Neurospora crassa OR74A: one gene and its partner. The protein of the gene in region 1 interacts with the protein of each later gene in a pairwise test. Links are inferred from orthologs where the notes say so. Each region holds a gene or a part of one and is shown in the gene's direction. Other genes may lie near its edges.

What was found.
Region 2: the proteins of NCU06678 (region 1) and prd-6 interact in a two-hybrid assay, tested with the Saccharomyces cerevisiae proteins (2 studies listed by BioGRID, with this or other methods). The link is inferred for Neurospora crassa OR74A from reciprocal best matches to the Saccharomyces cerevisiae genes XRN1 and NAM7.

What each region holds. Positions count from the first base shown.
Region 1 is NC_026505.1:4,232,164-4,236,431, reverse strand, and holds the start of NCU06678 (exonuclease Kem1), read left to right. Parts: upstream 1-1,459; 5' UTR 1,460-2,024; coding exon 2,025-2,029; intron 2,030-2,114; coding exon 2,115-2,208; intron 2,209-2,276; coding exon 2,277-2,583; intron 2,584-2,642; coding exon 2,643-4,268. UniProt on the Saccharomyces cerevisiae protein: Multifunctional protein that exhibits several independent functions at different levels of the cellular processes. 5'-3' exonuclease component of the nonsense-mediated mRNA decay (NMD) which is a highly conserved mRNA degradation pathway, an RNA surveillance system whose role is to identify and rid cells of mRNA with premature termination codons and thus prevents accumulation of potentially harmful truncated proteins.
Region 2 is NC_026505.1:5,327,031-5,330,032, reverse strand, and holds the end of prd-6 (ATP-dependent helicase NAM7), read left to right. Parts: coding exon 1-1,249; 3' UTR 1,250-2,496; downstream 2,497-3,002. UniProt on the Saccharomyces cerevisiae protein: RNA-dependent helicase required for nonsense-mediated decay (NMD) of aberrant mRNAs containing premature stop codons and modulates the expression level of normal mRNAs. Also capable of unwinding double-stranded DNA and translocating on single-stranded DNA.

The sequences.
Region 1 (4,268 bases):
ATAGGGTTAATATAGATAATTTTAACGGCCTCTACGAACTACGGATTCTAGATTGATATTTTGTTAATACTTCCTTAAACCCGATGAAGAATATTAAAGAGGTTAGAAATTGGACTTTAAAAGATAGTTGTGGCTAGTATAGAATGCCTTCGCCTGGGTTCGAATTCCCAATAGAATACCTCGATAAGTTTTATCTCTCTAGGGAGGAATAGTTCCAGAGGATGTTCGTTGCTAATGGTTAGTATAAGTAAAGCTTGTAATTATATGCGTATTGGGCTATAGTACCCCTCGATCTTCCTTAGGTTATTTTTTTTTTCTTTTTTTTTTTTTTCTTTTTTTATATTATTATCCTTAGGTTATTATTTACAACTAGTTTCATGTGTTGTCTTTATTTAGAGCCGGAATTAAAGTTTTTTATTTTTTTTTCGTTATACTTTCTTATTGTTATATTTATATTAAGGAATATATATTTTATACTATTATATCGAAATAGTCCTAAAGGAGGCGTATTTGGGGTAGCCTGAGGTGAATATTCTTATTGGCTACCTATACGGTACCCGTACTCTAATTTTCTTATATACCTAGGTTAGAGTTTTAATTTACAATTATTAGAAAGGGAATAATAGGAATTACTTCTATAAAGAATACCCGCCACTTAGGTAGCTTAGATAAGTAATTTAATATAGCGCTTTCTCCCCTACTACCTACCTCTATCAATATAAGTGTAATATTGATTGAAAATTGCTGTGAAATAATTGTAAGGCTTTTGTTACTTAGAATAGATATTAATTGTTGAATAAATAAATATAATTAAACAATTATTATATTAATAAGAATATTAGCTTGCAATTAGCAATTTAAGTGAGTATATTTATTATGTTGTATATTTTGTAGTTCGGGTCGTATTGTTGTGGTACAGTTCGCTGTTGTCGTACTTTTGTGCGCTGTTGAACGGTTAATTCCGTTTTGTATACAATACCGCGTTAATAGTCGTTGTACTATTAATTAAAACTACGTATTGTAAAATAAAACCAACTTCAATACAACAATATTCAATTATCTAGTAGATTACAGTAAGAAACAATATTGTGTAAGGATGTTGTAGCCCACAACCCCTGCTCAAGCGTTTTATACTATAAAGGCCTGCTACGCCCACTTTTGTCAGACCCCCCATTCCCTCCAGGGCAGTTCCGTTCCGCTCGTCGAGGGCGGAGGCTCGCTTGAGGTTCGTTACCTTGAGGTTCAGTAGTAGCTGGTGCGGGGAGAGAGCTGACAGTGACAGCCGGGAGCCTGATGAGGTGGCGGAGCGCTCACTACTGGCCTGGCCTGGCCGGGCCGAGCGCTAGTACCTAGCTCTAGAGGTACCTCTACCTCTACGACCGACGCTCACGCCGCCCCCAGGCACACAGTCAACCCGCGTGGGGCAACGGAGGCCAACTAGAAACTGCAGTGTGTCACAGCCTGAACACCTAGCCAGCCCGGAGCCCAGGACCCGACACCTTCTCCGTCCCATCCACACCTCTGACGGACCTTCCACTTTTGTTTCTCTTGCGGTTCCATCTCGTAGACATCACCCACTTCTTCCTTTACCTCCGTCTATCTCGAACATAGGCCGCCAACGTCCTAGGCCACTCCTCGGATTCTCAACCTTTCCGCTTTTCTTAGCACTATAGTAGCTTCTTTTCCCGATTGGCGCTGTCGGTTGCTCCAAGGACACTCCTCTTCTTCCCTTCCATAGACAGCATCTTCAGTCTTGGACCTTGCTGCTTCGTCCCCCCTCGGTTTATTGCACCATTGCGATCCCTGGAGGCTTCGCTATCTAGAAACCCGGCCATTATTATTCAGTGCCGGCATTTGAACGACCAGCTTGACGCCTCTCCTTCGCCCCCTGACAGCAGTAACTAAGTAGACTCCCCGTCTGCGACATCTCCTGCGACCGCTCAGCGCGCCCCAATTTCAGACCTCCTTCGCAAACTTCTAGTAGTGTACACATCTAGTCCGGCACCACAGGCCACTTAGTCAACATGGGGTATATGACTCCCACATCAAAGCTCCTCCCTCGCCGTATACGCGCGCGTTGTTCAGGCGTGTGGCTAATACCCCCTCTTGTCCAGTGTTCCCAAGTTCTTCAGATGGCTCTCGGAGCGGTATCCCGCCATTTCTCAGCTCATCGCCGAGAACCGTATCCCCGAGTTCGACTGCCTTTATGTTCGCTGCTCCCTCCCGAGGCCTGATGGCTGTCTTGCGTTACTTGCCTAGCTAACCGGTTTGCTCAGTTGGACATGAACGGTATCATCCACAACTGTACCCATAAGGACACGAGCGATGTACAATTTCGCATGACAGAGGAGGAGATGTTCATTGCTATATTCAACTACATCGAACATCTCTTCGGGAAAATCAAGCCCAAAAAGCTTTTCTTTATGGCTATAGATGGCGTTGCCCCTCGCGCAAAGATGAACCAACAGCGTGCTCGTCGTTTTCGTACCGCGCTGGACAATGAGAAGGCTAGAGATAAGGCGATTCGTGAGGGCAAGGAATTGCCCAAAGAAGAACCTTTCGACAGTAACTGCATCACACCTGGTATGTCTGGCGCTGGTGCCCGCTTGAATGTTTTCCCCGGAGGCTAACTAGCTGCATAGGAACCGAATTCATGGCCAAGCTCTCGCAACAGCTGAGATATTTCATCCATAAAAAGGTCTCGGAAGACAGGGACTGGCAACAGCCCGAGATTGTCTTGTCTGGACACGAGGTCCCTGGTGAGGGTGAGCACAAGATCATGGAGTACATCCGCAATGCGCGCGCTCAACTCGACTATGACGCGAACGTCCGTCACTGTTTGTATGGCCTCGACGCCGATCTGATCATGCTTGGCCTCCTCAGCCATGACCCTCACTTCTGCCTTCTGCGCGAGGAAGTTACCTTTGGCCGCGGCCCGTCTAAGCATAAGGCAAAGGGACTGGAGGAGCAAAACTTCTATTTGATGCATCTCTGCATAGTCCGCGAGTACCTGGAGCTGGAGTTCCAGGATCTCAAGAAACCTGGAGCCATGTCTTTTCCATTCGATATGGAAAAAGTTATTGACGACTTCATTCTTATGGCATTCTTTGTCGGAAACGACTTCCTTCCCAACCTTCCGCGGCTTCACATCAATGAAGGCGCTCTTTCGCTCATGTTTAGGATCTACAAAGAAATTCTTCCGCGCGGCGACGGATATATCAACGAGGGCGGTAAGGTCAACCTCCAGAGACTCGGCCTGCTTCTGGAAGAACTCGGCAAGGAGGAGTATCGCTTTTTCGAACATGAACATGAGGATCAAAGCTGGCTTCGGGCCAAGAAGATGCTTGAAGATAACGAGGCAGAGACAGCAAAGGCAAAGACCAAGGGCAAGCTCATCGTCACCACGAACCAGAAGAATCTCTGGAAGCAGAAGATCAGGAAATTCCTTATGAATAGGAGCACTAATACGCTTGACCTCGGTACCGAGTTGAAGGCCGAGGACCGCAAGTTTGTCCAAGACTTGGCTGATACTGCTCACATTCCTTGGGCAACTAAGGAAGATGACGAGGGACACCGCCACCTAATCCTGTCCTTCCCCGAGAGAGACGACGAGTCGGAAGAGGACGAGGAAGCCCAGTCAGCCGTTCTCCGTATCATCAAGAAGTACGACAACGCCCAAGTCCTGGATTTAACTGCGGCCGACTCGAAGGCTGCCATGGAGGTTAAATACCAGCAAAAGTTCCAAGAGTGGAAAGACAAGTACTATGCCGAGAAGTTTGAGGATTGGACCCCAGAGAACAAGGAGGACGAACTCCGCAAGTTGACGGAGAATTACGTCCAGGGTCTTCAATGGGTGCTCTACTACTACTACCGTGGTATTGCTTCTTGGCCCTGGTTCTATCGCTACCACTACGCTCCCCTGATTTCCGATGTCATGAAAGGCCTGAAAGCCGACCTTAATTTCAAGATGGGTCAGCCGTTCAAGCCATACGAGCAGCTGATGGGTGTCTTGCCAGACCGCAGCAAAAAGATCGTGCCGACAGCATATTGGGATCTTATGACAAACCCCAATTCTCCCATCATCGACTTCTACCCAAGAGACTTTGAGCTTGACATGAATGGCAAGAAGATGGATTGGGAAGCCGTTGTCAAGATTCCCTTCATTGACGAGAAGCGGCTGCTTGCAGCAATGGGCCCCAAGAACGAACTTCTCTCGGACGTTGAGAAGTCGAGGAACGATTTTGGCGTCGCACTCAAGTTCACTTATT
Region 2 (3,002 bases), about 1.1 Mb from region 1:
TACCCCCATTCGCTTGAAGGTCCAGTATCGTATGCATCCTTGCCTCTCTGAGTTCCCCTCCAATATGTTTTACGAAGGATCGTTGCAAAACGGCGTCACTGCCGCCGAGAGACTTCGCAAGGATGTTGATTTTCCCTGGCCGGTCCCTGAGACTCCCATGATGTTCTGGTCCAACTTGGGCAACGAGGAAATATCGGCCTCGGGCACATCGTACCTCAACCGGACTGAGGCTGCCAATGTCGAGAAGATTGTCACACGCTTCTTCAAGGCTGGTGTCAAGCCTGCTGACATCGGTGTCATTACGCCGTACGAGGGTCAGCGCAGCTACATTGTCAATACCATGCAGAACACTGGCACGTTCAAGAAGGAATCCTACAGGGAAGTTGAAGTCGCTTCCGTTGATGCCTTCCAGGGTCGAGAGAAGGATTTCATTGTGCTGTCCTGCGTTCGCTCCAACGAGAACCAAGGCATCGGTTTCCTTTCGGATCCCCGTCGTCTCAATGTCGCCCTCACCCGTGCCAAGTACGGTCTGGTGATTATTGGTAACCCCAAGGTTCTCTGCAAGCATGAGCTCTGGCACCACCTTCTCGTCCACTTCAAAGACAAGAAGTGTCTCGTCGAAGGTCCCCTCACAAACCTCCAGCCTTCCCTCTTGCAGTTTGGCAGACCTCGCCAGGCCTACCGGCCGCAACGCAGCCACACTCAACATGTTGCCAGCGGTCCCTCTAATGGCCGGTTCGCTGCTCCCTTGACTGCCGGCTCCGTCAGGGATTATGAGACTGGTTCTATGGTCTCGTACATCCCGGATGATGTCTCCTCCATCCACAGCTCCGCCCTGGGAGGTGCTGCTTTGAGCTCTGGTTACCCTGCCATGTTCTCGAACTTCCACCCTGAGGCGTGGGCTGGTTTGCCGTGTGCTGGTCCCAACGGACGCCCAGGCGCCAAGGGCCGTGGTCGTGCGACAGAGAGCATCGCAGGCGAGAGCGTCGCCAACAGCGAGTTCACTGATGCCACTTCCAGTGTCATCGGCGGCAAGGGTATCGGACAGGGCGGCGCGAGTCTCGGTGCTGGCCTTAGCGAGGCCATCGGATCAGCCCGCCCTACTTCTTACAGCCAGAGCGATCGCCTTAAGCAGTATGTCGAAAGCAATGGTCGTATGGGAGTCGGCAACGGATACCGCCGTTACGATGACGACGAGAAGAGCGTCAGCACTGCTTTTGCCAGTCAGATCGGGACAGGTTTCGATTGAGCCATTAGATCCTAGGCGTTGTTGGTCTCCCTCTTCCTCTCGTGGAAGCGCACGACACAATGCTTATAGTTCTCTTGAACCTAAACGGCGGTATAGCATATGGACCTATTATGTGTCACTTGGTGAGCACGACAGACTTATTCTGTTGACACGCTACCGATAGCCTTCGGGCTGGCGGGCAGAAGACAACTTACCCTTCTCCAGCTTGGATTCGCCCAACTGAAGCTGCAAGGAGTTGTTGCTGCTCTCTGAAAGCCAATCCTTCACATAGGCTTCTTCAAGGTGTGGATGATCAGCCTACATACCCTCTGCGCAATAGTCTCGTGCAAGCTGAACCCCAAGCATACGGGAACAAGGCATCTTCACACACCTTCGTCTAAGGTTGCACATCAAATCAGACGTGCATACGGACTCAAGCAACGGACGGGTATCCAAGGAGGGTTTTGTCATCGTTCGGATGTACGGAGCCGGATGAGGTCGACCCACACTTGGTATTGGGGGAAAAACGTTGGGTTAGCTGGCGGTCGAATTTGCATGGTTGCGGAAGCGCCTGGTCAAATGCGATCTACCCAGGAAGAAGTCACCACTCGATCTGTTGCTTCCGGGCAGGTGGAGAGTTGGATATCTTCTTTCGTGGTAGAATGATGACCGAATGAAACGGCAAAGCCTGCAAGTCAATCAACGCAGAGAGTGGTTGGTTTACACCGATACGCTCACTCCATCCAGTCTTAAGCTTTCACGTACCACCAGCCAGCCTGAGTTAGTCTTTTTTCACTTCGTTTTCAAGCGTGCTTCACTGGGACTCACTCGTCCAGGCTCACTCGTCCAGGCTCACTCAATCCCATACCCTCCTTAAAAGAGAAGTTGTCGGTTGATAAGCCTGGACAAATCCAGTGAGCACTGCGTTTGATAGTTAGTTGATATTCGTCCCTCTGGACTTCCTAACCAAAGTCACTCATTATTTTATGACCAGAGATGGGGTAGAGATAGTTTTCAAACAGAAAAGAGAGATGGGAGGAGTCTCAACATGGACAAGAAAGGAAAAACAAGAAAATCAAAAAAAAAGAAAGGCAAGAGAAAAAGAAAGAAACAGCGTTGGAAATTATCAGATAGAGAGAGGGTAACGCAAGAGGAGTAGGTGTGAACGGTCATAGCTATTCACATATACTTACACTGGGAATCTGGAAACGTATCATGGGTACCTACCTACTTATTCAGATAGCTTATTTGAACTTCGTTTCCCGCTGGTTTTAGTAATTTTCTCCGTGACACGAAGATGGGTGAATGTTGTGTATGACGGTTGTTGACCGAGTTGCCCAACCATTGTGAAGACTGAAAACCCTCTATCATGAGCTGACGATTTTTGTTCTTTCCAAGAACGTGGTATTATGTATATTACTACAAGTGATTCTTTACTCTAGAAGCTTATGTACTCTTGTTTTCGTACCTGCTTTACGTTTCTCTCTCCCTCTTTCTCTCTCTCTTTACTAGCCAATTGGTATCTCTGTTTTGCTTCCTCTTTGACCTTTGTATCATCCATCCCATCTCATCCCATCTCATGCAGCCACATATGCTGCTTGCATCATCCTCCTCTTCGGTGAATTATTGTGATTTTTTCTTCGTCAACTTTTTATATGGGGGTGGTCACAACATAAGGAACCGGCTCAATTAGCCGGACTTGAAAGAGCGTGTCCCCAGGACAGCTGTTGTCTTGTCTTTGGCGTGGCGGTCAATGCACCCACCCACCCACTTA